Notamacropus eugenii: one gene and its partners. The protein of the gene in region 1 interacts with the protein of each later gene in a biochemical or structural test. Links are inferred from orthologs where the notes say so. Each region holds a gene or a part of one and is shown in the gene's direction. Other genes may lie near its edges.

Evidence for each region.
Region 2: the proteins of ESR1 (region 1) and NR0B2 form a complex in vitro, tested with the Homo sapiens proteins (2 studies listed by BioGRID). The link is inferred for Notamacropus eugenii from reciprocal best matches to the Homo sapiens genes ESR1 and NR0B2.
Region 3: the proteins of ESR1 (region 1) and scaffold attachment factor B1-like form a complex in vitro, tested with the Homo sapiens proteins (2 studies listed by BioGRID). The link is inferred for Notamacropus eugenii from reciprocal best matches to the Homo sapiens genes ESR1 and SAFB.
Region 4: the proteins of ESR1 (region 1) and TRIM24 form a complex in vitro, tested with the Homo sapiens proteins (4 studies listed by BioGRID). The link is inferred for Notamacropus eugenii from reciprocal best matches to the Homo sapiens genes ESR1 and TRIM24.

Annotation. Positions count from the first base shown.
Region 1 is NC_092873.1:243,779,756-243,787,625, forward strand, and holds the start of ESR1 (estrogen receptor), read left to right. Parts: upstream 1-4,861; 5' UTR 4,862-4,999; intron 5,000-7,870.
Region 2 is NC_092876.1:68,043,960-68,051,440, reverse strand, and holds the start of NR0B2 (nuclear receptor subfamily 0 group B member 2), read left to right. Parts: upstream 1-4,465; 5' UTR 4,466-4,591; coding exon 4,592-5,111; intron 5,112-6,581; coding exon 6,582-6,823; 3' UTR 6,824-7,481. UniProt on the Homo sapiens protein: Transcriptional regulator that acts as a negative regulator of receptor-dependent signaling pathways. Specifically inhibits transactivation of the nuclear receptor with which it interacts.
Region 3 is NC_092875.1:73,568,663-73,575,634, forward strand, and holds the start of scaffold attachment factor B1-like, read left to right. Parts: upstream 1-3,970; 5' UTR 3,971-4,231; coding exon 4,232-4,417; intron 4,418-6,972. Other genes in the region: SAFB2 (scaffold attachment factor B2), read right to left, coding at 2,684-2,771, 3,496-3,801. UniProt on the Homo sapiens protein: Binds to scaffold/matrix attachment region (S/MAR) DNA and forms a molecular assembly point to allow the formation of a 'transcriptosomal' complex (consisting of SR proteins and RNA polymerase II) coupling transcription and RNA processing.
Region 4 is NC_092874.1:110,703,028-110,710,229, reverse strand, and holds the start of TRIM24 (transcription intermediary factor 1-alpha), read left to right. Parts: upstream 1-4,192; 5' UTR 4,193-4,329; coding exon 4,330-4,723; intron 4,724-5,424; exon of another isoform or gene 5,425-7,202. UniProt on the Homo sapiens protein: Transcriptional coactivator that interacts with numerous nuclear receptors and coactivators and modulates the transcription of target genes.

The DNA of each region.
Region 1 (7,870 bases):
TTGATACAGTGTTTAAATAAAGATTTTTTTTTTTTTAGTAAAATGACAGTGAATAGATATCCTGTTGTAGCCACTATTCAAATTACCCTATAATGACAAGATTATCCCTTTTTGTCACTCTTATAAACAACATCGGATAGTTTACATTATCATACTTTACTCTTGCATGATCTTCCATCATTCTTTAATTATTTCCTGTGGCAGTCTTGTCTCTCAATTATAAGATTATAAACTCATTAAGTGGTTTTTTTTTTGGTAGACTCATAAATTCTGGAAGTCTTTATCCCAGTTCTCACTTGTACTGATAAATAAGGTCCAAAGACTATAGCTAAGTCTCCTTAAGGCTCTAGGGCTAATCCTGAAGAGATATCTTTCTAAGGCTTTTGAGTCCCCACCAGTGTGCTTCCTGCCAAAATTATAAGTTTATGATCAATCTGTCAGCCAGACATTTAGTTTTAGAAAGGGGTATTTATTACAGTAGTAGAGTTGGTACAAAGCATCCCCAGAAAAGTTCTGTGACACTCTCTAGTAAGTATATATATAGAATCCAGGGGAAAGTAAATTCAAGGTTAAAAAGCACATGTGGCAAAGGATAACACAGGTTCTGGAAAAACCTCTTGTTGGCATCATAAAAACGTTCCTATTGGATATTGTTTAGATTTTCTGGTGTGCTCTTTATAGAGCCTGGAATCTGTCTTGTCTGTCCTTGACTCCTAATTTGGTCCTCCTAAGTCTGAGAGGGTCCTCTTTGACTGGGAGTGGGGAGGAGGAGATGAGGAGACTGACAAGAAGATCAAAGCCCAGGGCCTGGTTTCTCCTTCTGCATGAATTCTTTCTTAGGAATTTTGATGGAATGTTTTCTCCTCTCTACTTCCTCAAATCCTTCAGGCCCCAAATGACCTGATTTTTATAGATTATTGACATGACATAACAATTTCCTCAGTTAATTGGAATATAATTCCTGTGCAAAGTCACTCTAGTTAATCAAACAAGGACTTTTTTCTGTACTTAGTCTAAAGCCCATGATTTATTGATTGATTCAATAGAGAAGTGTTCTCCTCCAGTTAAGATATTAGACTTTAGCTTCTTGACACTTTGAAAAGAATCTGTGATTTGATGAAAATTCCATTCTTTTATATGATTTAAAAATAATTCTCAGTTCATATTATATCCAATCCAGCAAGTATTTAGTAAAACCTACTATATATCAGGTTCTGTAATAGACTTTTAGAATACAAAGGAAAACAGGTCCTGTCTTCAAGCAGCTTGCACTTTGTTAGGACAGCTAATAACTCTTTAGTGATCTATGTGCTTCTCCACTGTTAGCAACTTTATCTTGAGACTCCTTCGAACTAGTCCCCTCCCTGATTTGTAGTCTGAAAGGTCAAACCCACTGCAAAGTATTGAAGAGAAAGTCCCGGATTGTTGTACCCGTCTATTTTCACACTGCATTTAGTGTTGAAGATTGTCCCTTAGAATTTGGAAGGAGCTATTCATCTACTATCTTCGTTTATGCTATGTCCAAGCTGCTTCTGAAGACCAAGTGAAATATTAATAGCTTTTCTCCTTTTGAAATGCTTTAATCTCTCAGGTATCTTACTTGTTCTGACAAACCAGTCATCCTGAAAGTAGATTTTTAAAACATGTGCATACACACAACTCTTCCTCTTTAGAATGTTTACAGCTTCATTTTATTATTTCCTTTTGCATACAGAATAAATGAAAAAAGCATTTATGAAGTGCAAACCATTTGTGCAAATCATTTGTGATTTACACAGTGAGATTTAAAATTTAAAATTATGAGAACTGTGAACTTTAACTAAATTTGTTGATTTCTCTCCCACAATATTTTCTGGTTGACTGGGCTACTGAAGTAAAACTATACATTTTTTTTTTTTGAAGACTTGAATTGTCTTTTGCTGGCTGCTCTCCAAGTTCTTTAAGTTTTGAGTAAATCATACTGAAAGGTAAGTAAGTAGTGGATGTTGACTATATTATGACTTATGACTATGTTTTCAATAATCTCTACTCAGAGACTGGGCAGAAGTATAATGTTGTGACTTTCCGGGCCTTGATCTTATACACGAGAATGACATTTACCTTAGGAAACTCCCATAGGCTGGCTAATTGGAGAGCAGAGTTTCATACTAAGTTTGTCATTTAATGAAAAAAGAAGTTCAGAGTCACTTGGGTACTATAATCAAGTTGAGGGGAAATTTTAAAGGATACTCATTGGCGAGATCTCGATTATTAGGGCTAGAAAAAGATGATCTATGGAATTCATGTCTAAACCCTATTATTGACTGAACCATTAGATGAAAAAAAATCTGCTTTAGTCTGGATGTCAGACAAAATAGATTTCTGCTTGAATGACCCAGATATATTGCCTCATTTCTCTGATTTACTTTGCTAGTTGAAACCTGGTCTTTACTGGGAACTTGGGTTACATTGGGGGGCAGTAATGGATGGCAAGATGCCACAGTTACATTGTCTTCAATGCTTCATAAAAGATTTCAGGATATTAGTTGCAGTGTGACCCTGGATGAACTATATGTTTACCCTGGGATTGTTTTTTTTTTAATTGTCAGTTTCAGTCTAGTTATAATTAAATTCTTGGCTTTATGTGTCAGTTGAATAAGTTATATTGGGGAAGTAAATCTGAGTAGTGAAATAGAAGGAAGTTTCTTTTCTTTTTTTTTTCTTTTTCTTTTTTTCTTTGTATGCCCATACTGAGCACAGAGCCTTGGACATTGTAGGTGGTTAACGAATGTTCATTGAAATTTGTCTTATGTTTTGACAGTTTGCTTTAAATCCTAATTTGCTAACTTTCTCATCATTTATTCTGGTTATTGATGATGAATTCCATTCAACTAAACAGTTGCAAATTTTATGACAAAATAAGAGAGAAAATATTTTAAAAAATCTTTCATTGAAGCTTTTTTTGGTTGTAGCTATCCTTTCCAAGGACCATTCTGCCAATGTTAGAACCTCCTCTTGCAACAAAGCAGTACAGTTAAACAAACCAAACAAATGCGCTGATCATGCCTGACAGCATATACCTTATTCAGCACTTGTAGTCTACCACCTCTCCACTGACAGGAATAAGGAATATCTTATCATCAATCCTCTAGAGTCAAGATTGCTCAGGGCACTAATCTAACTCACACCTTTAAGCCTTGTTTTCCATTACATCATGGTCATTGTGGATATTGTTCTCTTGAAAGGGCACATGAAGAATTATGTATCTTCTCCAGAAACTAATATGGGAAAAGAAAGGTGATATGTAATTAGAAAAGCAGGATGGTATAGTGAAAAGAATCCTGGGATGAGCCAAAAAAATCTGAATTTGAGTTCTAGTTCTACTACTTAGTAGCTGTGTCATTTTGGGCAAATTATTTGTCCTCATTTAGCCTCCCTGTCATCATGTAAAATGGGGGAATAATACTTGTGCCATCTGCCTCACAGGGTTCTTGGGAGGATCAGATGAGATTTTATATTCCCAGATCAGTACGTAAAGTAAGTGTCAGCTATTATAATTTTACAGGGTTTCACAGTACTTCCTACAGATCTCTCAGTTGTTGAAGTACTACTGTATCTTTAATCATATACTTATGTATAGGTAACTATGCACTGAGGCATATGAGTGACTCAAAAGATTTGGCAGTAAAAGGCAGAAATGTCTGCAAATCATATAACTGAGTGATTAATACAGAAAAAGCTTTTAATGTTATTTTTCTTAAACTTCTATTCAAAGAATTGATTTATTGGATAATTTATCTTTTACTTGTCACTAATCTTAAAATTACAAAGAGGAAGGGCTTCCTTTTGAACCCTCTAAACTTCCTACTTGGGCAACTCCCCTAGCTTTTCTTCCTTCCTTCCTTACTTCCCTCTCTCCCTCCCTCCTTCTCTCTCATTCTCTCTCTCTGTTTCTCTTCCTCTCTGTCTACCTGTCCTAGGTCTGTCTGTCTATCTTTGTCTTTCTTGGTTTTTGATTGTCTATCTTTTTTCCTGTTTTAAGGAACTTCTCCATTTAAGAAATGGCAACTTGTCTAGCAAAGTAGATATGAGAGATGCTTTTCCTCCTATCTATTCCTCTCCTGTCCCAAAAACTCCTTAGTTTTTTTTTTTTTACAGTAAACCAAAGTTCATCAACTAAGCTTTTTTTATTTTTTAAAGACCTTTAAGATACAAACTCTTAAATTACAAACAGGTTTCAAAAGCTCTTTAAATTCCCAGGTCCTTTTATTAGCTCATTTTCTACTTCAAAATGTTTATCTCCTGGGTCAAAGAGAAACTTAAATCACTGCAGGAAATGCCAGACAGTTTATAAGAAGATCATATGATGGAGGGAAGGGCTTAAAAGTCATGGAGAAGCTAATCTAGGCTAGGCTGACTATAGTTAAGTAACCAATTATTCAGTGTCAAGAAGGAAAATGGGTAGAAGGAATGGTTGAATGGCATGACTAGAATCCCTTTCCCATGAGTTTTCATATGGCTTTTAGCAGCAACTAATTGAGGTTCACAAAATTTATGTGCTGAACAAATGCTTTTTCCTAGTTAGATTCACCCCTGTCAAGACTTTATGCTTTATTACAGGCAGAAAACACATCAGCTGGACTGTATTAGTTTTGCTGGCAGATTAATGACACACATTCCACTTTTTGTCAAACCTCTACCCTAGCCTGAAATGCTCAGAAAGTTGAAAAATCTGACCTAGCATGGAGAAAAGGCAGGCCTTTCATTTTTTCAGAGAGATTTTTCCACTTCTAGTCAAATGGTGGTGCTAGCTTTTCATTTTTGAGGCTTTGCATTTCCTAATTTCTTGGTCATAACAACCTCCTGTGTATTGCCACAGAGCAGATTTCACCAAAACAGAGAATGCAAGGGCACATGCACAGAAGCTGTTTAATGGGCTAGAAAGGTTAATAATCCTTCCTCCTGCATATTCTATAGTATAAGAAGACAGACAGGCTGTGAGGGAGATTCTTCTGTCCAAGTAGGTATTCCTATTTCTTTCCTCCCCTTTCTTTTTCTTGTCTTTTTTCCCCCTCTTTTTTTTGAGGGGGAAGGAATCTGTGTGTATGTGTATTGGTGTGTGTGCATGTTATTTACAAGTATGTTGTAACTCTAGTGCTTACAGCCATTCACTTTCTTTTTCCATATGACTTGAGGGATATTTACAAAGTCTGTTGGCCAGAGTGTTACTATGTTCAAGTGTTAAGTCTGAACTAAGTGCAATGGAAATTCACTTTTGGAATCATAATCAGCTGAGTCAGAGGGCAAGAAGAGTACCCTTTTCTTAGTGCAGTAGTGACGGACTTACTGCTCCCAACAAAATATATTTTTTGGACACAGCTCTCTCCATGAAATCCACAGAAATATTCCAGAATCACCTAAGTCTCTCTATTTGGCCAACTGTGCACATTGATGAGATCTGATAGAGAATACACTGAAGTTGTCATGAACATATGGCAACTACCTGTTATGTTATAGTAGAAATACAGCAACTTTTGGCAGTTCCAACCAAATATTTTGAACAAGCTGTTTCCTAGAAGAAAGGAAGATTTCCAAAAAGCAGCCTAATCCAGTGATAGGAGCCTAGGAAGAAGGACCTTGTCATTGATTTGCATTATAATCTCAAGCAATTTATTTCGACTCTTGACCTCAGTTTTCTTTTGTGTGAAAAAGGAAAAAAAAATTGGTTTGTTTGTTTCAGCAGGCTGGTGTCCTCATTAATGACTGTACCACATATGACGGTGTCACATGGTGCTAGTCCAGTAATGATGTGGCAAAAGCACACAGCAAGGACGGTACACTTTCATTTTGGTGAGAGGAAAGCCACAAGTTTCAGGAAATGTCAATTTAACTCTGTAGCAAGAAGGGAACTAGCCTCCCCATAGGAGATGATATAATTTAAAAAATACCTATGTTTGCATATAGATATAAGGGTAAGATTGTCTCAGGACATTAAATCAAGGCATGGAGTCCAAATCAAGGTACCGGATTTCACATGGCTTCATGGACAAGATTGAATAAACTTGCAGAACAACTCTGAGAAGGAGCTTGCTGGGAAAGTAGTGTTGTTTGAGGTGTATGTGTTTTTTGGTTGTTTAATTATAAGCTAGCTCAGGTGCAAGATGAGGACGAACATAGACTAACCACTCAAAATGCACTGAGCATTTAAAAAAATGCACAAAGGACCAAAGCAATTAAAGCGGTTGTTTTAAATCACTTCCTATTTGCTCATGAGTAATTTACTAATTGTCTTTTTACCTCCATTTCTCTATTTGCTAAAAGGAGGCATCATTTTTGATGGTTTTTTTGACACCTTTTGTTGTTGTTGTTCAGACCTGTAATTTCATCAGTGAAGGGAGCTTGCAGGTGAGGAAATGCCCTCTATCAATGTGGATTCCCGATTTATAGTCTTACAGAGTTGCCTGGCAGCAGTGATTCACTCAAGATCGTGTCATCAGTAAGTGTCAGAGGTGGAACTGGAACCTACATCCTCCCTACTCTAGGTCAGACTCTCAAATCTATTCCATGCAGCCACTTCTTGTTTTATTTCATTAATATTTATTTTATTCCATGGGTATCTTAATGATACCTACTAGGCTTCTGGACACATGAAATACTGCCGCAGAATTTGTCATGGGGTTTTTAAATTAAAAAAAATGAGTAATTATCAATAATTTAGATATGATTAATGTTGACTAGGGAGCAAGAGGCTTAATTTCAAAAATAATAACATTTATATAATGCTTTAAGCTACCAGGATTTGTCAATAGAACCTTTTTCTTAGTAATGTGGAAATACATATAATTTGTGACAGGGAGAGGGACAGATCATATGTTTCTTGAATTAGCAATGAGGACATAGTTACATAACTGTTGTCTACTCACATGAACCCTATTTCCTAAAATTTAACTTCAGCTCTACAATCTGCTATCTTGGGGGGAGTTAGGGAGTGATAGGCAACATGCTTACTTTAGACCTCTCAGATACATTTATACCTGACATCTATATGTTAGAAATAATTTCTGATGGCTCCTCCCTCATTTTTTTTCATGTTATCTGGATATCCTCTGCATATCTGTCTATAACTACTCTGTTCCCTTAGTTCTAATGGGGCCAAGGTCCTAGGTTTGAACTTCTAGTGGGTTGCTCAGTTAACATTAAAGAGAAAAAATTCTATTTTAGAGCCATAGATTATATGTCCCTAATACAGTCTAGCCCTTCACAGATGCATACTATTGGTTAAGATTAGGCAAAAAAAATGAGGTCTTTTTTTTGGTAGGGTGTAGCTTATTGTCACCAAAGGGAGAACCAAACTCAAAGCCCTTAGCTGCTAGTGGGTGGGTGAGTGATGTCTTTCTCTAGGAAGGATGAACACACCTTGGCTGTCTAGCTTGTTTTAAGTAGGATTTGGCATCATGCCCCATGTAAAATAGATGCTTTTAAAATTTACATTTTATAATGCTGAGAGTAGTGCTGGTGGTGCATCTACAATTAACCTTCTTGGAAACATCTCAGGAGAACTCGCCCAGGTGGGAAACTGAACATACTTTGCGTATTTATCCTAGGATAGATAATTTAGTTTACTGCGCCTCAAGAAGGCTGTGATTGTGCTTTCCTGAGGCAGCATGATACAATGGATAGAAAACCAGTCTTGTTGTCAGCAAGACATGAATTCGAGTCTAATACATACTGGCTATGTGATCTTGGCTAAGTTATCTCATCTCTCAGTACCAATCAAAAGACCTATACTATGACTCTGTATATATGTTAGAGCATTCCTTCCAGCATTAACATTCTGTGATTCTGCATTCCTTTCCCTGAGAAGCTACTATCCTAAAATATTAGACAACTT
Region 2 (7,481 bases), on another chromosome or scaffold:
TTGCTCAAGCTGAAGTGCCAAGGCATTCAACTATGCTTCAGAGAGTGCAGTTCTGATGGTCTATCCACATTGTCCAAATGCAAAATGTATGCCTGCCAAAAAGACTATTTTATGGAGAACTTACATGGGGCAGGCAATCACATGGTGATCAGAAGAAGCGATACAAGGACATTCTCAAGGTCTCTCTCAAGAACTTTGGATTTGACTGTGTAACATGGGAGATACTGGCACAGGACTGCTCAGCATGGCACGCCCACATCAGAGCAAAGTAGAATTGAGACAGCACAAAGTAAACGCAGAATGCACAAATTTGGAGTATCCACCCCAAATATTCACATGGTCTATCTGTGCACAATCTGTGGTAGGGCCTTCTGAGCTCATATTGGTCTGATCAGCCACAGTTGGACACACTGAAATTTCACTTTATCATGGTGATGTTATTTTGGTCCTTTTTGAGAATGAAGGAGGACAACAACCAACTAACCAAGCAACCAAGAGGGGATGGTCATGGAGAGGATAAAGGCTAGCTCTTCATCAGAGAATGGGGCAAATGAGGAGGGAAGGAGAGACCTCAGAAGTGGGGAGGAAAAATAAATTCTATTTTGGTCATATGGAGATCCAAGTGCTTATGGGACCTCCAATTGTAAAATATTCAATAGACAGTTAGTGATAGATGACTGGAACTCAAGAGAGAGACTATGACTGACTTTTTGGATCTTTGTTTTCACTCATTTCTGTCATGTTCAACTCTTTGTGATCCCATTTTGGGTTTTCTTGGCAAAGATCCTGGAGTGGTTTGCCATTCACAGTAGATGAGGAAGCTGAGGCAAACAGGGTGAAGTGATTTGCCCAGGGTCACACAACTGTCTGAGGCCAGATTCAAGAAGATGAGCCTTCCTGACTCCAGGTCCAGTGCTCTATTCACTGTGCCAATCAGCTGCAAAGCCAGACTGTCACTGACTTTTTAGATCTAGCAATTATACATTGCGATGATAGTTGAACCTGTAAGATTTGATGAGATCACCAAGAACAAGTGTGGAGAGAGAAAAGCAGAGAGGACCCCTGGTCAGTCGATCCACATGGATGAAAGTTGATCCACATGGATGATGATCTAGCCACGGAGACTGAAGAATGGTCAGACAAACAGGAAAAGAACAAAGAGAGAGAAGCAGCAGCAAAATCCAGGGAGGACAATGTCCAGGAGCTGAGGGTTCAAAGGGACCTCAGAGTGTCTTCTCTCTAAGGCTACCTTCCTTTACTCGTCCATATCTTGTATGTGCGTAGTTGTTTGCGTGTTAGACTGGGATCTCCTTGAGGGCAGGGACTGTTCTGGCCCTAGCACAGGGCCCTGCACATAGGAGGCACTTAATAAGCATTTGTATCAATGAGATAATAATTGTAAGGCACCTAGAACAATGCCTGGTATACAGTAAGTGCTATATGTGTTATTATCGTAGTTGTCGATTGGTTGACTATCTGCCTAGCTACATTTTACAGCCGTAATCACCAGAGGCAGTAACAGTATCCACACAAGGTAGGAAGTCCCAACCAGGAATTGGTCAGGTCACCTAAGAACAAAAATCACAAGGGGATCCAGTTAGATCCTTATGCTTGAATGGCAGACCTCCATGGTCAACAGAGGTGAGTGAGCTGTTCTGGGCTAGCAACCTGCTAGGCTTGTCTGTTGCCCAGAACTTGCAGTATCTAAAAGGTAACTCACTGCCTAGGCATATCTATTGTTTCTGTCACCTTCTACTTCCTGTGGCTGTTGCTTCTGGTGGACTCTGCTGCCCACCCACCTTGCTGGGGCAGGGGAGCCTCTGATGACACCTTTGGATCCTTCAAACTCACTGTGTTGCTGCCTGGACATATTCATGTTAGAGGACTTGTTTGCCTCATATCAGGAAGGAAAGAATCTGTTCATGTGCTTACAGTGACAGCTAGATAAGTGGAGAGGACACCAAGCAGTTGCCTTTCCCCAAAACTAACTCTTGAACCATCTCCAAGATGCCCTTGATTGGAGCAGCAAAGGAAAGAGGCTGAGGTTAGCAGATGCCACCTTTTGTAGGTAGGTATGTATGTATGTATGCTTAGTTCTGGCTCATCCACAGGCAATGAAAGACTCACAGTCCAGGGCATCCATGCTATACTTCTTTGCCTAGAGACAAGGGGCTGGGCAAGATCAACTCTTGAGCCTCCTTCTAGGTCAAAGGTTTAAGCGTCTACACTGTCTGCCTCTGGGAGGCTCCATATACAAGATTTTAGTTTTGCTTATCTTTTTCTTCCTTTTCATGGATTGCTAAAGACCATCCAAAATTTCTTCCATAGACCTGGTGTCAGATGTTGAAAGGCAATATGGTGGATCATCAAGACATCAACTTCCTACTTTGTGTGGCTACTTTACTGCCTCTAGTGGACCCTGGTAGTGAGGGAGCATGTCCAGATGCAGAAACTAGTCAGTCAGTCAACAAGGTTGAGAATCTAGGGGTCTGAGTTTGGACCTCAGCTCTGTCCCTTACTTTCTTTGAGATCCTAAGAAAGGCCCTTAACACTCCCTGGGTCCCAGTTTCCTCAAAGCTAAAATGAAGGCACTAGAGTAAGTCAGGAGTCCAGGCTCCCTCTGACTTCTTGAGACTGCCAAAGGGGTCCATGACACTTTGATCTCCAAGGTCCAGCTTTAGTATTTTATGTCCTAAGGCCTTTCACCTCTGACATGCTATATTATAGAGTCTATGATCTTTTGTGTTTTAATGTCTCTTCTAGCTCTGATATTCCATGTTTTAAATATCATGCTTTCTGGGAGCTTATTCTAAGATAGATACCTTCACAAAGTCATAATAATGGCTAGTATTTATATCACACTTTAAGGTTTGCAAAGCACTTTAGAAATATGATTACTTTAATCTTCACACTAACCCTGTACGATAGGAGCTATTATTATTCCCATTTCACAGATGGGGAACTTGAGTTTGAGAGGTTAAATTACTTGCCCAGGGCCTCACAGTTAGAAAGGGTCTAAGGGAGCATTTGAATCCAGGTCTAATCTGACTCCAAGTTCAATCCTCTAAACACAGTGCACCTAGCTGCCCTATGAACAGGGAGGAATGGTAACAGGATACTGAGTAAGGAAATTGACTCCAAGATAGGCTGGTGCTTGGTTGAATGACCAAGGACAGAGAAAATGGAACACTTACATTTTTTAATAAAAGGTCCTATCTCTGACTGGGAGAGACTCTTTTCAAAGACGCAGAGGGCTGCCCTACAAGCTAAGAGAGATGCATAGGCAACCCCTGTCTAGACCGAGTATTGCCATTTTGAGAGGAAGTGTGGCCAAAAGAGAGAGAGTCCCCTGGAGTCACATGGTTAATAATAAGAACTCAAGGCCTGACCAGGCAACAGGAGAACCCTTTATCAGCCCAGCTAACTGGGAGACTTCTCTAGAATTTTCTGGTGCCCCAGCTTTAGGCTACAGTAAGAGAAGAGGTGATTCAGGTACAGCTGGGAGGGGTCTTAGAATACAGAATGTCAGATCAGGGAAGGGCCCTAGAACACAGGTGTCAGAGCTGGGAGGGCCCTTAGAACACAGGATGTCAGAGCTGGAAACGCCTTTAGAATACAATGTGAATTCCTGGAAGAGCTTTTAGAATGTCAGAGTAGGGAATGTCAAAGGTAGGAGGAAACTTAGAATACAAAACTTTAGAGTTGGAAGGGGTCTTAGAACACAGAATTTCAGAGATAAGAGGGCCCTTGGAACACAGAATGTCAAAGCTGGCAGCTCCTTTAGAACATAAACTGTCAAACCTGGAAAGACCTTAGAAATCATGTAGTCTAACCTCATTTTACATAGGTAGAAACTGAGATCCCATGAGCCAGGTGACCTATTCTTATCCCCATTTTTTGATAAGGAAACTGAGGCTCAGGGGCCCGGATAAGCACCTTAGAATTTTGCAGATTCTATGTACCCAGAAGCCAGCACTGCAGGAACCTCTAGTGCAGGGCCCCAAGGTTAAACAAACAGCAGCTGATAAGGTGACTTCCAGGTTGTGTTGTCCAAGGTTGGTCTGGCTTCGGGGCTGTTTTTCCCTCTGGGCGGCCCCTGGTGCAGACAAGGGCCGTGTGTATGTGTATGCTGACACCTGCCATGTCCCTGATGCTGACTGTACACCTGGGGCCTTGGTGTCCTGGTACCGGCTGGGTTAATGGCCCTGTTTATCATGCCTGAGTCATCCCGATAAAGCAGGCTGCCTGGTGACCCCAGCTGGTCCTTTCATTGACTAAAAGCCCTATCAGGGCCACGTGGAGCCCTTGCCTGCCCTCCCCCTCCCCGCCTGCCACTTCCCCAGCCAACCGTGCCAGGGTCATCTTGTTTTTCAATGAATAGGACTTCCCTGGTGGAGTCAAGGTTGTGGGGGCTGGCTCCCCTCCCACCCCAGGGATTATAAATAGAATCAGAAGTGCAAGCCTAGGATGGTGTATCAAGCAGGCAGAGGAGCTGCGCAGGGGCCCCAGAGGGAGTGAACGGTGTTGAGCTGGCAACAGCCGGAGTCATTTTTCCCTGACTGATCTTCCAATCCTAGCTTGCTGCCCAACCATGAGCCTGGGTGGGCCAGCTACAGGATCCGGAGCTTGTGAGTGCCAAGGTAGAGACAGCCAGCACGCCATTCTGTATTCCTTGCTGAGCCGGTCCCAGGGCCCATCGCCCCATGCCCATTGCCTCTGTGCCCGGCACCGCACAGTCTGCCTCCGAGCTCCACAGCACACCTGCCTGGCGGCAGCAGGTGTACTAGCTAAGACGATCACTTTCCTGCAGAACCTGCCCTCCTTTGGCTTGCTGCCTCCAGGGGACCAGAGGCTGCTGCTCGCCAACTGCTGGGCCCCCCTCTTCCTTCTGGGGCTGGCCCAGGACGCAGTGACCATCGAGGTGACTGAGATGCCAGCTCCCAGTATGCTCAAGAAGATTCTGCTGGAGGAGAGGAGCCCAGAACCCCAAAGACCCCAGCCCACCCTCGCAGGGGTACATCGACTCCAGTGCTGCCTACATACTTTCTGGAGTCTGGACCTGAGCCCCAAGGAGTATGCCTACCTAAAAGGAGCTATCCTCTTTAATCCTGGTGCGTAGAAGTGTCCTGCCTCTCCCCTATCCCACCCCCACCTCCCTTTTAGCTTATCACCTCAGTACCTTACCCAGGGTCCATCTGTCCTCTTCTTGCCTTATCTTCACATAGCCAAAGCTCCTGTGGGGGGGCATAGGAACAGAAGCCCCTATGTCCAGGGAGAATAAGAACTCCAGAACTGCCAGGACTCTCCCCCCGCCCCAAACACACACCTTCTTAGGAAAGAGGGAAGAAGGAAGAAGATGCGTTACCATGCGTATGATGATAAAGAAGTCTAGCACCACTGGCAAAGTGTCAGACAAGATGATTGGCTCCCTAGCCTGAGAATTCCCTCTTAGCAAAGTCCTGGCCTGGCTGTGAGAGGGAAAGAGTTAATATGGTGAAGAGAAAACTGGATTTGGAGTCAGAGGGCCTGGGTTCAAATGCTCCCTCAGTGACTCACTAGCTGTATGGCACTGGGGAAATCACAAACTCTCTGGGCCTCAATTTCCTCACCTATAGAATGCAAAGGTTTGACTTGTTGTTAAGTCATTTTCAGTCATACACAGCTCTTTGTGACCCCCACTTGGGGTTTTCTTGGCAAAGATCCTGGAGTGGTTTGCCATTTCCTTCTCCAGTTCATTTTACAGATGAGGAAGCTGAGGCAAACAGGGTGAAATGACTTGCCCAGGATCACACAGTTAGTAGTCTGAGGCCAGACTTCAACTCAGGTCTTCTTGACCCCAGGTCCAGCACTCCATCCACTGAGTTACCTAGATGTCCTCAGGTGTGATTAGATAACCTACAAGTACCCTCCCAGAACTAAACCCAATGTCTGACAAGGAAGACATAATGCAAACATTCTGGGAGCCTTGGTCTTAATAATAGAGAGAAGACAGATACACAGAAAAGTCATAAAACAACAGGCAAATTTCAGTTACGATCAGAGGACTCTTTGTACGTAAAGTGCCGGACAGAGCTGAGTACGTTAGGTTGACCAGAAGTCTTCCTGGAAAGGGATCTCTAGAACAGTTTTGAGACAGTGAAGAGAGTCCTTAGAATACAGAATGTCAGAAGTGGGAGGGACCTTAGAGGGAGTAAGGAGAGAAAATAGATTTTTATTTGAAATAATTTACCTCCCCCCCAAAAAAATCCCACTACAGACAGAATCTCAGAAGTAGAGAGGGGACCTTAGAACACAGCATGTCAAAACTGACGTGGGGGCCTTAGAACAGAAAATGTCGGAGGTGGAAGGGGCACAAGCAATCACTATTGAGTATAAGCCTCTTATTTCCCAGATGGAAAAGCAGAATCCCAGGGACTAGAGAGAACTGACTTTGTTAAGGTCAGCCAGAAAGCTGGTGATGAAGGCAGGCATGGGAATCCAGACCTCCAAACTCCTGTTCCAGTGTTTTCCCCATTACACCTTGCTGCCTCTCAGAAGGAAGTAGCGATTTACTAGCTTTCCTCTTTCCTCTTTCACTACAGACACCCCCGGCCTCCAGACTGCTTCGTATGTAGAGAGCTTGCATCGGGAGGCAGAGCAGGTCCTTCAGGAGGCTTTGGCACTCCATCACCCTGTGGACCAGGGCTGCTTTGCCCGCATCCTCCTTGTGGCCTCCTCCTTGAAATCCATCCCTCCTGCTCTGCTCAGCTCCCTCTTTTTCCACCCAATGTTTGGGGATGCTGACATCACCAGCCTCATTGTGGACATGCTGTACTTGACTTAACCGAGGGGATGGTTCCCTTTCCTGCTTCCAACTGCCTTCAGGACTCAGAGGCACCTCACCCAGGCTTGAGACAATGCAAAGACTCCTTACACTTGTCAGAGAGCTTGTTCTGAGGGCTGTGCCTCTCTGGATGGGATCTGAATTGCCTCAGGTCAGGGACTCTCCCATTGGGACCAGCCCTGAGCATTCTTCATATCTGGGCTCTGTACCCTGCCTTGAGAGATGCCAAAGCCAACTGAGCTGGGGTGGGGTAGAGATGCTTACTGGCTCAACTCTGATACTGAGTTCTCATAGACTCACAGCTGGAAAGGATCCCTGAGGGCATCCAATCTAGGATAGGAATAGGAATTCCCTCTGCATCATTCTTGTCTCATGATCTTAAAAACTTCTAGAGATGGAGGAATTCATATCTTCCAATCTACTGGTTTTGAGGGCTTGGGAATCAGTCAATAGGAAAATAAAGGGGAGGGAATGATCTACATTTTATTAAATTCATCAGATATTTATTAAGTACCTCCTGTGTGCCAGACACTGCATTAGGAGTTGAAGATACAAAAACGAAAAGGAAATACATCCTTTGTTCCCCAGATGGAATACCTATGTGTTGAGAGCGTTCCACAACCTTAGAAATTCCACTTTCCCATTCTCTATATAGCTT
Region 3 (6,972 bases), on another chromosome or scaffold:
AAAATGGACAATTTTGTTTGATTACATAAAACTACACTTTTGCACAAACAAATCCAATGCAACTGAGATTAGAAAGGAAACAGTTAACTGTGGGGGAAAAACCATTGCAACAAATTTTCTCTGATAAAGACCTCATTTATAAAATATATAAGGAATGATTCAAATCTATAATAGCTATCTGCCCACTGATAATAGCCAAAGGATATTAATATGCTATTCTCAAGTTATCTATAGCCATGAGAAAATGCTACATATCATTAATAATTAGAGAAATGCAAATTAAAGAAACTCTGAGGCCCCAGTTCTCACCCATCAGATTAGTAAAGTAGACAAAAAAGTTAACTGACACGTGGGAGGGAAAACAGGAATACCAAAAATACACTATTGATGGAGCAGTGAACTGGTCTAGCTATTCATGAAAGCAATCTGAAATTATGCCAAAAAGTTATTAAATTGCGAATATCCCATCTGACTCAGTTATACCACTATTGGGTCAATACCCCAAAGAGACCAAACAAAGAGAAAAAGGACTCATGTACAAAAATATTTACAGCAGCTTTTTATGTTGTAGGAAAGAACTAATGCAGAGTGAAGTGATACAAATCAGAAGGATAACTTATAAAATAACTGTAACACTGTAAAGACAACAACTTTGAAAGACTTGAGAACTCTATCAATGGGTACCCACAATTCTAGAAGACTCATGATGAAAACATGCTGCCCACCTCCTAACAAAGTGGCGAACAATTTCAGGGTGCAGAAGGAGATCTATATTTCATGGACTCAGCCAATGAAACAATTTTCCCTAACTATTCATATTTGTTCGAAGGGTTGTTTTTCTTTATTTTGCAGTGGAAGGGGGGAGATGGGTAAAGAAAAAAAAATAATGCTTGATAACTGAAATATAAGCTTTGGGAAATACTTATTTTGTTTGGAGAGTTTTAAAAGGGGAAAGAAAAGGTGTAAGAAATATAACAATGGAGAGAGATGGGGGTGAGACATGAGAAGAGTATAAAAACTTGGAGAAAGGAGTGGAGGGAGCAGGTATCTGATGAAGCTCACTCATATGACATGGATAAAGTAGGGCTGAATGTACACACACCATTTGGTGTAGAAATACATCAAACTCAACAGAGAAACAAGCAAAGATGGGGGTAGGGATAGAGGGTTAAGAGGGAAGATAATACCAAGAGGAGAACACCCACAGGGAAACAGACTTTTTGACAGTGAAGTATAGGGGGAAGGAAGGTGGATTAAAAGTATGGGAAAAAAGAACTACAATCTAAGAAGATACCCATCAATGACAGAACAAATTACAGTGTATGAATGTAATGGAACAATATTTCATCATAGGAAATGACAAAAAAGATAAACGCAGAAAATCTTAGGGGTAGTATAAAAAATGTAAAGTGAACAGAACCAGAACAATTCATACAAGGACAACAATACCATAAAAAACAAACAAACAAAAAAAAAACAACTTTGGTCATTGTATTGACTAGAGTTCTTGTCTTTCAATCAGTTTTCCAGTGTACATATACATGAAGAAGTGTTACCTACCTAATGACTCCTGAGGTAAGTGATTCAAAGTACAGGAGGAGGCATAGCTACCATGGTGATCATTTGCTTGACTATTCTTATTTGTAACAAGGATTTTTTCCCCCCTCAGTTTTTAATTGAGGAAAAAGGAGTTGAGCAGATAGGTTGTTAAAAATAATGTCCAAAAACACCCCACAAAACAATGTGGCGACTGAAACAATGTTTAAAATGCACAGGAAGGAACAGAAAAATGCTTAGAAGGAAGCACAAAAAGAACAGTTTTGAAAATAACCAAGTATTTCAGTTTTTTTAAAGCAGCATGGAGATTGTTTCATATACAATTCTCTTATGTTCTTCAAAGCATATAGAAATATTCCCTTTTTAATACTTAAGTTCAGAATAAAAATAAGAAATATAGATCAAAAGAAGAAAAAACAGTACCACCTCAGCTAAAAATGTTACCAAGGAAAGCGATAATAGTAGGATATATTTATATGATACATCTCTGACAGGAAAACTTAAAATTTGTACACAATGTAACAGAAGTGCTCATATCAAAATAATCACAATATGCTAGCCTCCTCAGGTCCATCAGTCCTAAAATGGATCAAAATTTGGGAAGGAAAAGGAACATGAACAGTATTTTTTGATGATCAAAAGTATTTGTTAAGTGTTCTCATAGATATGTTATTTTCATAGGACCCGTTCATTCATATCGACATGCCGACTAAAATGTCTTTCTTCCTACAAAGACTGACCTCTGAGCTTCCTCATTTGAAAATTAGGCAATACAAATTCCACTTTCCCCAACTATCTCAAAGATATGGTTGAGATCAAATGAGATAATACAGGTCAAAGTACTTAATTTTTTATTTAAAAGCCACATGAAGATGAAAACTGTTATGACCATTATCAAGAGTATAATTATTAAAGCAAAGTGGGAGTAAGTACACTGGTTCTGCGATAAGCCCGTGGGCATCTGAAAGCACCTGCTTGGCTCTCTGCCTAGTTCACCTAAGTGCTCACCTAAGCTCACTGTTTAAAAACGTAAAAACCAAAACTACGTTAACCTAACGAAAACAGAAAAGGTGTTCTCTGCCTTCTCCAGTCCACCAAAACCTCTGCCCCGAGCTCGTGCACATACCTTTGATATACCTCTTTGGGATTTTCTTGCTGGCAGCCTCTGATGCAATCTCAATGTCATCAGGATCGCCCCCTTCGTCCTCAATAGCCTATTAAGATATCAGTTTCAGGGGAGCTTGTTAGGTGCATGACGTCATGTGCTTTACTGGTCATAAACTTTCGCTGCAATAAACGCTCAGTTCCCTCACTCTCGTTAGGCTACTCCGGCCGGGCAACAAGCCCAGAAGTCAGGCTCGAGTGAACTTCACTATCACATGGCGACATGGCTCGTACGGCTGGAAGCGCAGCCTTAGGCTTCTGAAGGGGCCCGGACCCAAGCCCAGGCCGGCCATTTCTACGCGCTGCGAGGATTTACCCATTTTGGGAAAGTTTCGCAGACACCAACAGGTTGCTGGAACTTTGTACCGGGGGAGAGGAGGGTGCGGAGCGGGGCCAAAGGTCACAGGGTCGCGGCTCGGGGCAGAATAACCAGAGGACGGCCCGCGGCCGGAGCCAGGACGGGAAGGACTTCCTCTCTCGGCCTCTGCCCCCCGCCGGACACCCCCTTCCCAGGAGCTCGGGGCCGCTCCAGCGCGCCCGTTCCCAAGGTTTTTTCCGGCGGGGTGGGGTGAGCAAGTGGACCAGGGCTGGAGCGGAGGGGAGCGGGCCGCGGAGCAAGGGGTGCCCCGAGCCGAGCCACAGGCGCGCACCTCCCCTTAGCCCAGACTCAAATACGCGTGCGCGGCGACAAGCTAACGCGCTGGTCTCCCTCGCTCCTCCACCCGCCCCCTCCACACCGAGTGCCGGGGCCCCGGATGTGCCCCGGTCCCTCACCTTCTTGAGTCGGTCCATCAGGACGCTCTTGTTGCCGCCGGTATCCAGGTTCCGCTTCCTCAGCTCGGCCCGGAGGTCGATCACTCGCAGATCACTTAGCCGCCGGGTCCCGGTCTCCGAAGAGGCGGAGCCGAGACCCGCCGGGCCAGATCCCGAATCGCCCGCCCCTGACAGAGCCTCTGCCATCCTGGGTGCCCTGTCTTCGCTGCCCACCTCACACACAGCAGTGGCTGCGGCAGTTCCGAACACAAAATGGCGCCGTTTGCGAGAAAAACGCACTAGCCTGCCTCCTTTCCGGTTACGCATGCGCGCCAACCGACTTGGCTTTTTTCCACCACCCCCTCCTCGGAGGGAGTTTGCCCATGCGTGCTGTAGGATCCCACGCAGTCACCCCCGTGATCCACAGTCGTATCCAGGGCTCCTCCCACTCTAACTGGTGCTGCGCATGTGCTCTATTAGTTGAGGGCGGGAGTTTGCTTGGGTTTTGAGCGCCTGCGCATCTAGACAGTGAAGCTCCTTACTTCCCTCCTTCCTGGTGACGGAGGGATTTGGCGCATGCGCCTGGAGGAGGGGGCAGCCTCCCGAAAAAAAAGACCACCTTCTCGGCGCGCGCGCAGTGACGCCACGGGTGGGGGAGGCTGGTGCCGCTCCCTCGCAGGCGGCGCCATTTTGTGTTCCTAGCTGTGGCAGTCGCCCGAATCGTGCGAGTTGGGCAGCGGAGGTAGGACCCTTCGGGATGGCGGAGATTTTGTCAGGCGCAGGCGATTCCAGTTCTGTCACTGCAGGGCTCAGCTCCGCCTCCTCAGAGACCGGGACCCGGCGGTTAAGCGATCTGCGGGTGATTGACCTCCGGGCCGAGCTGAAGAAGCGGAACCTGGATAGCGGCGGCAACAAGAGCGTCTTGATGGACCGACTCAAGAAGGTGGAGCCTTCTGGGGCCTAGTCGTGTGTGAGGGTCGGGAGAACGGATGGGGGAGGGGGGCTGGGGGAGGGGGGGTTGAGAGAGTGGCCGGGTCGCCATAGCCGCGGGCCTCGCCGCGCAGGCGCGCGGGGGGCTGGGCGGGCCCTCGAGCTCCCCCGCCGTCGCGCCCTCCTGGCTGTCCCCGCCCCCGGCCGCAGAGCTCCGCGCGCCCCGCCCCGCACGTCCCGAGGCTGGGCTCCCTGGGTGGATTTCTGGGGGCCGGTGGAACTTGGATGTGGGGGGGATGGGAGGGAGGAGGAGTCACGTCTCGATATCGACTTCCTTGGGTTCCCCAGGAAGGAGAGACGACCTGCGGCTTGTTGGGGTTTTTATCACCGATCTGGGGCGGGATGGCTTGGAGGCAGCTCTAGGGTGCCCAGCTTGGGTTAGTCAGGTTATTATTAAGCCGAGTGCTGTGGGAAGATGGGGGGCGGGGAGAAACGACGAAGTCGGGCTCCTGGAGGAGGGGGGGCTTGAAGAAGGCAGGGGTCATCCCAGGACTTGGGGACAGGGTGAGCAGAGATCCTTGATGGAGGAGAACGTTGGAGGCGATCTAGACGGCCAGGGCCTGCTCGGATTTGGTCTTGGCCTTCCTCCATCCTAGCAATGCATATACTTGGTAGATGACACTTAATAAAATGTTTGTTGAACTGAATCTCATTTTACAGGTGAGGAAATTGAGACCCAGAGAGGTAAAGTAGCTTCCTAAGGTCACACAGCTAGTAAGTAGACCTACAGTATCAACTCTAGTCTTACCTTAGTGCCAAATTGTATACTGCGCTGCCTTGCCTCCAGAGGCTTGAGAGCCCGGATTTTTGTGTACTGTGGACAAAGTGATCCAGTATGGCTGGAGCAGAGAGCTCATAGGAAGGAGTAACTCCGTGAGAGGAAGGAGTGGAGCCAGACACCTTTTATGGTTTCAAGAGCTTTTTTCATACATTGTCTCCTGTCTGTCTTTCAGCCATTCAATGAAAAATCATTTCTGAACCCTTACCATTCCATTGATTAATATAAGCATTAAATGCCACCTAGGTGCCAGATACTGATAGGCACGGGGAATTCAAAAACAAAATAGTCTTTGCGTTCTAGAAGCTTAAATTCTATTGGTGACAGTGAGATACAACATGTACGGAGATAATAGATGACACAAAGTGTTCTGTGCACTGAATAGCCAGTAGGGCTCGCTGGACTTTGAGATTGAGATAATTTCCTCATCTCTGTTTAAGTGGTTTAATAAAAGGGAGACACTGACTTTGCCTTCTATATGTAACAGTTTATGGTGAGAGACAAGTAGTGGGGTGGAACCATCCCAGGAAGGTGAGACAATGTTGTCCTCATTTGAAAAATAAAGAAGCAGAAACTGAAGTCATCCAGTTTACTCTAGGATGAAGGAGGCATCTAAGGTGGGAGATGAAGTAGATAGATAAAAGTTATGTGACAGCTCATTTCAGAAGTTCAAGAAATATTATGCTCTTTACACAAATTAGACCATATCTTACAAACAAAACATCTAGTTAATTTTTTGTGACTTCTTTTTCCTCTTCAAGGTCTTTTATGTAACCTTATTTCACATGAAAAAAATGGGTACAATGCTCCAGCTTTTAAGGTGGGGATGAATTTCCCCACATCTTGTCTCAGGTGCTATCCAGTCAGTCCACCATTCAATTCTTCTTTATGTTGATTTATGTTTTGTTTTTTAAAGTTGGGCCTATTCGGCTGATCCACTTGCTTGCTTCTCAGGAGGAGATATGGATGCTTCAGACTGTTTTCAGTGTAAACCTAGCACTGAGAAAAGTTGATGTTTTCAGTTCATTTCAGTTTGTACTTAAGCATGAGCTAGGCACTGGAGACGCAAAGTCAAATAATGATAGCTTGACACTCATTTAGCACTTTAAAATTTGTAAAGTGCCTTAAATACATCCTCTCCTTTGAGCCTCAAGGAGGTAAATACTGTTGGCATTATTATTCACATTTTACTGATTAAAAAACTTTATCTGGGAGAAATTAAGTCATGTTGGTAAATGTCAGAGATGAGATTTAAACCTCGATGACTCCTGGCTCTTGATTTCAACACTTCTCACTGTGGTATACTTCATCTTCAAAACAAGTCTTTGCCCTCAAGGTTATGCAGTCAACTTTCACTTAGTTTCTAGATTATGATGCACTTAACCCTTTTCCCAAATTCAGTACTACAGGCAGTAAGCTAGTTTTTCCTTCTGTTTAAGTTTTGAATGACTTGAAACTAGCCAATTACAAATTACTATGGTTCCATGATAAATAATATAGTTATCTGCAATTTTACCCATAAAAGAAAAGAAAATAATGAAATGGGATTTCACTGTCATTAAAATTTAGGTGACAAAATCAGATCTCTGCCATAGATTGAACATTTCCCTTATTTTCTACATCACACAATATGAGAGTTGGAAGAGGCCACATCTTTCCCAAGCCCTAAATGAAAGAATTATGTATTATAATATATCTTACAACATGGTTTACCTGGCTCTGGTAGAAGA
Region 4 (7,202 bases), on another chromosome or scaffold:
GCGCCTGCCCCCTCCCACTCCTCTAAATCTACCTCCTGTCCCTCCGCCAAAGCTGCGGATAGGCTCTGAGTGAGTACGCTCAGAGGCTCCGAGGGCCCAGACCGCCCATAGGTAAATGACCGCGTTCCTTGTGATGATTGTGACAAGGACATGGTGGCTGGGGGGAAGGAGAAGGCATTAGGTCTGATCTCAGAAGGATTGGGAGTTCCTAAACTCTGTTGAAACTTCTTCTTGCGAATTCCCCCACCCTCTTTTGTTGTTCCAGGGACTTTCCATTCTTTCTTAAGGGTTCCTTCTGACGAGCCCTTTGTCTCGGGGACTTTCCAGGGGACCTTCCACTCCCTCTTGGGCGTTCCTTCCTCATCAAACTTCCCTTTTGTTCCTCCCCTCGGGGCTCTATAGTCCCACCCCTTGCTCAGCCGTGCGCCATCTTGAAGGGCGCGGTTCTGGTCCCTGCCTGCACATTCTCTTAACATACCCCATGGATATAAGGGCTGGGGCTCAGTATTATCCTCATCGGATTCCCCTTCTTCTTCTGTCGTCCCTTGAAGGGACTGCCCTGTTTGGGTCTCGCCGTTAGACCTCCCGGGGGGACGGGGATCCGAATGCAGAAGCGTGGCGACCACTTGAAAGAACGTAAAGTCCTCCTCTGTTAGTACGCCAGGGCTCTCTTTCTCATAGGCGACCATCTGCTGTCCCACTACGCCCCATTTGGCTGGGTGTAGCCCACAATATTCTAACCAAGGGGAAACATCCCAGATCTTTTCCACAAATGCTCTACAGTCCCGGATGTGGGGCTTAAGCCCATGGGTCTTACAAAGCTTATACAACTGACAGGCAAGCACTCCCTTATCTTCGGGCTTCAGGTTGGGAAAACTATTTCCCTGGCCCATCCTGGCCACTTCCCAATACTGAGACTGCCTGAATCTTCCCGCAGTAGCGGGTCAAGGCCACTTCTCAATACTGAGGCTGCCTGAATCTTCCCGCAGTAGCGGGGCAAAGGCGGATTCTCCTCTCCTTACAGCGGCCCCTGTTCAGGCGCCAGCTGCCCGGGGTCTACTCCCGGGCCTTCGCCTCTCCACTTACCGATCCCCGGTCTTCGGACGTCTCCGGCCCCTCTCCCGGTTGGGGGAGGGCAATAAACAGGCAGAGCACCCGAAAGGAGTTGCAGTCAGCAAGCTTTATTGCATTTCTTCCCCTTCTCCTTCTCCTTCTCCTTCTAAGCCCTTGTGATCATCCCCTTTTATTATCCCCTGTCTCCTCCCCCGTACCTCCCATGGGCGGGCGAGCTCCTCCCAAGTGCCTCCCCGCGGGTGGAGCCAGCCTGTTACCAGGGCCATCCCAGTACCCCACAAGGGGGCAGGTTCGGACCCTCAGGCGTCTCACGGTCCTCACGGGGGACCCTGGTCCAGACCTGTCCCCCAACAGGATCAATTGAAAAGGAATTGCCTTTGCCATGTAACAACAGTCTTTGATTGAATCAGTTAATTAGAACTAGGTGTGAACAAGACATGGACACCTTTCTGGAAGCAAAGACATTTAAATTGGTTGAGGTAAAACAGACTTCAGCTTGGTAATGCTCTGCAAGGTCTGTATAAAAGCAACAAGATAGTTAAAAATTCTCTAAATCTGAGTGTCTAGTGGGGGAAAAGAGAGATTTCCTCCTCTGGGGACAGAGACTAGACCAGTAATTTCATTGATATAGTTCCCAGATCAGGAAATGCCCTTTACCACAGCAGGTCAGCACTTTTCTGCAGCTTAGGTCTAAAGCACTGGGAGAGGAAATGAGTCACCCCAAGGCTACCCAGTCAAAAATGTATTGTTGGTAGGACTTGAACCTATGTTCCTTGTAGGCTAACTCTTTGTTCACTATGCCATGCTGGTACTCTTAGACATTAACTCTTTCTCTTAAAAGAGGTCCAGATTCCATTCTCTTGCCCCCATCTTTGAAAAAAACTTCAGGATGCTCAGGAGTGATTTCACCTTGAGTACCCATAATAATCTGTTTACGATTTCCATATTCTCCACTCCCACTTACTCTCCAATCTCCAATACTTTAATAAAAAGTAAACATTTTCAGTGCAGGACTTGGTTTTTTTTCTTTGTACCCCCAGTTGAGTCTAGTGGAAAGTGTTGTTGTTCAGTTGTGTCTGAATCCTGGTCACTGCATTTGAGGTTTTCTTGCCAAAGATGCTGGAGTGGTTTGCCATTTCCTTCTCCAGCTCATATTAGAGATGAGGAAACTGAGGCAAACAGGGTAAGAAGAATTGCCCAAGGTCATATAGCTAGTCTGAGGCCAGATTTGAACTCAAGAAGATGAGTCTTCCTGACTTTAGGCACTGTACTCTACTCACTGAGCCACCTAGCTGCTCTTCTGGGCAAAATAGGTACTTCCCAAATGCTCTTTGATTACTAGTACTTTCTCAAAACAGGGTCTCTGGCTTTGAAAGATTCCTAGGTCTCAGTTTTTACAAGCACCTAAGACAGGAGATCATCTGGGGGGTCTGGGTATATAAATACCTGGTGATCTAGTCCCATGGGGTGAATCTACCTGGATTCAGAGTCAGGGCTACTTCCTTGGCCTCTTCTCTAGACTGTTGGGGGTATCCAAGTCAGACTTCAAGCATGTGCAGAATGTAAAGGCTCGATGCCTGAGCTTGGCTCCTTGGAATATCTGGTGTTAGATACATGTCTTCAAGAAGTTAAATTCTGTATGGACTAGGAGTTATGGCTGCCTGCATCTTTTCTAAAGATCCCAGGGGCAAACCTTTTAATACAAAAGTTTTAAAAATCCTTGTTTCTGTGTTGTTTTTCCACAAGGAAAAGTTGACAAATAGTCTCCCTTCTGGCTTTTTCTACTCTATTATGCCTAAAATTCAATCCTATGATCTCGCTTCAGGATTAAAAACTTTTTAAAAGAAGCTCAAAATTTTTTCTTGATCAACTGTTTCAACACATGCTGGGAATCCAGGCATTCTTAAGTGAATCCCTTGCAGCGTACAATCAGCATAAAAGAGGATTGACTCAATCCATTCATCTCCTCACTCTAGCTCACCCACAATTCTCCCCACCTTTTCCATTCATTATTCTGGTTAAAAAAAAAAAAAAGCAGATTGTGAAAATCCGTGGACCTCCTGCCTTGAAAAAACACCCCCTCACCTCTGTTTTTCCCTAGGAAGGTTTCTCTTCATCTCCTCTGATCCTTTCACTCCCGCACCCCGTCCAGACCTTTATTTCCCTTAAAGCAAAGGTTCTCAACCTGGCTTCCATGCACTTCGTACACATGTACAATCTGAATGTCAATATGCAGAGTGGGTTTCTTTGGCAATCCTATGCATTTTATTTTATGCATCTAATACAAGATCCTGGAAAGGTGTCGGTCCACAGGCTTCCCCGGATTGCCAGGGGGTCCGTGCCGCAGGAAGGTCCCTCGGCTGTTCATCTGAACACAGAGCGCCAGGAGGTCGCGCCCCCCACTCTACCGCGCCGAGGGCCGGAGGAGAGTTCTCTCGGGCAGTTACTTATTAATCACAGCTCCCAGCAGGGAAGGCGGGGGGCGGGGGACGCTCCGGGCAGGGAGGAGCGCCGCGGGGGGCGGGGGAGCTGGGGGAGGGTACGGAGTTAGGTGCGAGGTGGTTGGACGCGGGCTGGAGGAGGGAGGGCGTCACTCAGGCCGGGCCAATACAACAAACAGAACCCTCCGTCTCCTCCGCGGTGCAGAAACCGCCACCAACAGCCCAACCGCCGCCGGAGTTCCGCGGAGAGGAGGCGGGGCCTGCGCTTGCCCCCGTCCCCCTCCCTCCTCCCCGCTCCCTCTCGCGGTCCCCTCTCCCGGGGCGAGCCTGGGTAGTCCCGGGCAGGCTCCGCCCCCTCGCGAGAGGCGGCGGTCATTGGGCTGCGGGGCTTTTTTTGCGGTCGTCCTAGTTGCGAGGAGAGGGCGGAGTCGGGGAGGAGGCCGCCTTCGGAGGGCGGGGGAGGCGGGAGGTGGTGGTGAGCGGCCGGTCCGGGAGCGGAGCCGAAGAGGGAGAGTGCCCGGGAGAAGTCGAAGCCGGGGAGGGCTCCGGGATCGCGTCGGCCCGGGGCGAGGCTTCCCGCCGCCGGCGAGGAGCGGTGCCCGCGGACTCCTCTCCCTCCTTCCGGCCGCGACACCGGGGAGGCGGCTTCCTCTGCGCCTCCCTCCCGATCCTCCCCGCCCCCTAGTCCGGAGGAGGAGGAGGACGGGGGCGGTGGTTGGGAGGAGGAGGCGGCGGCGGCGGCGGCGGGCGGAGACCGCGCTCCCCCTTCTCCCTCGGCGGCGGCAGCGGCAGCGGCAGCGGCGGGGACAGGACAATGGAGGTGGCTGTGGAGAAGGCGGCCGTGGCAGCGGCGGCGGTCGCGGCAGCGGCGGCTGCGGCAGCGTCGGGGGCCCCGGCGGCCGCGGCCCCGAGCGGGGAGAATGAGGCCGAGAGCCGGCAGGGCCCGGACTCGGAGCGCGGCGGGGAGGCGGCCCGCCTCAACCTGTTGGACACTTGCGCCGTCTGTCACCAGAACATCCAGAGCCGGGCGCCCAAGCTGCTGCCCTGCCTGCACTCCTTCTGCCAGCGCTGCCTGCCCGCCCCCCAGCGCTACCTCATGCTGCCCGCCCCGCTCCTGGGGGCCGCCGAGACCCCCCCTCCTCCCGCCGCCGCCGCCGCCGCTCCCCCCGGCTCCCCGATCTCCGCCACCCCACCGTACAGCACCCAAGGTGAGCGAGCCCCTTTCCCGCCGCGCGCGCGAGGCCCGGGAGGGGGCGAGCCGAGCTCGGCGGAGCCGCGCCGCTAGCTGGGGGAGGGGAGAAAAGGGGCGGGGAGGCGGGGGACGCGAGCGAGACACACGGCGGGTGAGTGCGTGCGAGTGCGTGCGGGTGTGTGGCGACCCTGCTGTCATGTCGCCACGGGGGAGGGGGGAGAGGGAGACGGCAGGGTCTGTGTGTGCGGGCGTGTGCCCTGCGCCCAGGGCCCTGCGCGCTCCCCGCGCTCCGCCGGCTTCTCCGCAGGCCGCCTGCCGGGGCACCCGGGCTGGGCTGCTCGAGTCTCTCGAGTGGCCCGGCGCCTTGTTCCGGCCAACTTTTTTCTGAACGCCGACCCCTTAGCGTCACTGCTCACTCGGTGTTCGCCCGAAGCTTTTGTCCGGGGCTCCGGGATCCCGGGAAAGTAGGGAAGTGCCTCGTCCGTCTTCCTTTATTCTTCTTCAATGGATGAAGCCTTCGGCCGGCGCCAGATCTGACGTTGGGTTTGGAGGATGGAGCCTTGGGCTTGGGTCCTGTGTGGGAGCTCGTTTCCTCGCGGTGCTCTTGCTCCCCTTCGTCGGGGACAAAGGGACAAAGTGACAGTGTTTCATTTGTCCTCCCGTGAGGGGGCTGGCGTGGACGGGCTTGGCCGTGGGAGAGGCGGGAGAAAAGTGAGTTCGGTGGGAGAGGGGTTTTTTTCTTTCAAGTGTACGTGAAGAAGAGCTGGAGGTGCTGGAGATGGACGGTTTCTCCCGGGATGCGGTTGGGTGTTTTGTTTTGTTTCGGTCAGTGTAGTGCGGGAAGCTTAACAGGTAACCTGGTGTTGCTTTTGGTACCTGTTATTAGATCTGAAACATTTTTAAAAGTTAAAAGCAAAATGTTGAATTTGATACAGTTGTAGAAAGCTTTTTGCGTTTTTGTGCTTTCCCCCCTGTTTTTGTATTTTCTTTTAAAATTATAAAAGCAACATTTAGGAAAATATGTTAACTGCTTTTCAAAAAAGGAAATAACTTATTTTTAACTCCTCCCATTTTTAGAGGAGAAACTCCATTTAACTTAGAGTAGTTAGTAGTTTCAAGGCAGTGGCTAGAGCAGTGGGCCTGGAGTCAGAAGACCTGAATTCATATTCGACCTGAATAGTTTTGTTAACCCTGGGTAGCTTCCACCTCTGCCTCAGTTTCCTGTTGTGAGTATTAAACGAGACCGAGATAATAATTGTAAAGGACCTAGCTCCATTTAAATGTTAACCATTATTAATTATTCTCATTTGCTAGTGCCCCCCCTCCCCACTGTACTTTGCGTTTTTGTTGTTAAGTCGTGTCCAACTCTCTTCACCTCGTTTGGGGTTTCCTTGGCAGTTACTAGAGTGGTTTGCCTTTTCCTTCTCCTGCTCACTTTAAAGATAAGGAAACTGAGGGGAAAGGGGGTTAGGTGACTTGGCCAGGGTCACAAAACTAGTGTCTGAGGCAGGATTTGAACGCCACCTAGCTGCCAGATAGGTTATAGTGCCAAATTGAAGTAAGAAGGGTTCTGAAGAATGCTTTTTATTGGAATAAAGTGAACTGTGGCTTTAACACTTCCACTTAGTTGTAGTGAATCAGCCTACCTATTCAAGATTAATCCTGGGTGTAAGGGCAATTGAAATGATTAAATCTTGAGGGAAAAAGAAGTAACTTTTTTTTTTTCCAAATAGTGTATTCTTCAGTGAAGCTGCTTTTAAAGAAAGAACATTTTCATGAAACTGTTTAGATCCCTAACCAGATGGAGTTAATTAACCTTCCATGATCTATCTGACCTGAACCTAGAATTAAAAAGTTCCTAAGAATTGAAGCAATGATTGGTGTCATGCAAAGAGGTCTTGCAAAATTTGGAGTCAGAGGACTTGGTCCTCAAGTATTGAATCTACCTGTGTGATCTGGGATGAGTCTGACCCCTTTAGTCATCTGAAAAATGAGGAAATTGGATTAGATGATGTCCTAAAGTCTCCTCCAGGTCTAAATTTTGTGGGTTCTTTGGACTTCATACAGGTAGTCCAGATACCACTACTATTGTGAAAACCAGCTTGTAATTTACATGAAATATGAACAGGTCTTTGAAGATGTGTTGAGGACATTGATCTTGTTTCTTCTGTACCTAGTACTTACTGGTCAAGCAAGTATTCAGAAGGACAGAGACAATTTAAAGAGAAGTTTCAGCATGTAAAAACTATTTAAAGCTCTTCTTTATAATATATAATCCCTTCAGTGAAATATAACTCAAGCAGAACAGTCAGTTTGTGTAGGTTATGTGATTTGGGATGACTTAATAATCCTAGGGAATTTTTTCTTCTTGAACCAGTTGTCTTGTCTAGTTTCATTTTAGCTCAGTTTTCTCTTTTTGATTCAGTGATTTGTTTTGGAAAAAGAAGCTAATTTCAAAAATGTAAATTATTGGAATGTCAGGTCTTAAATTGCAT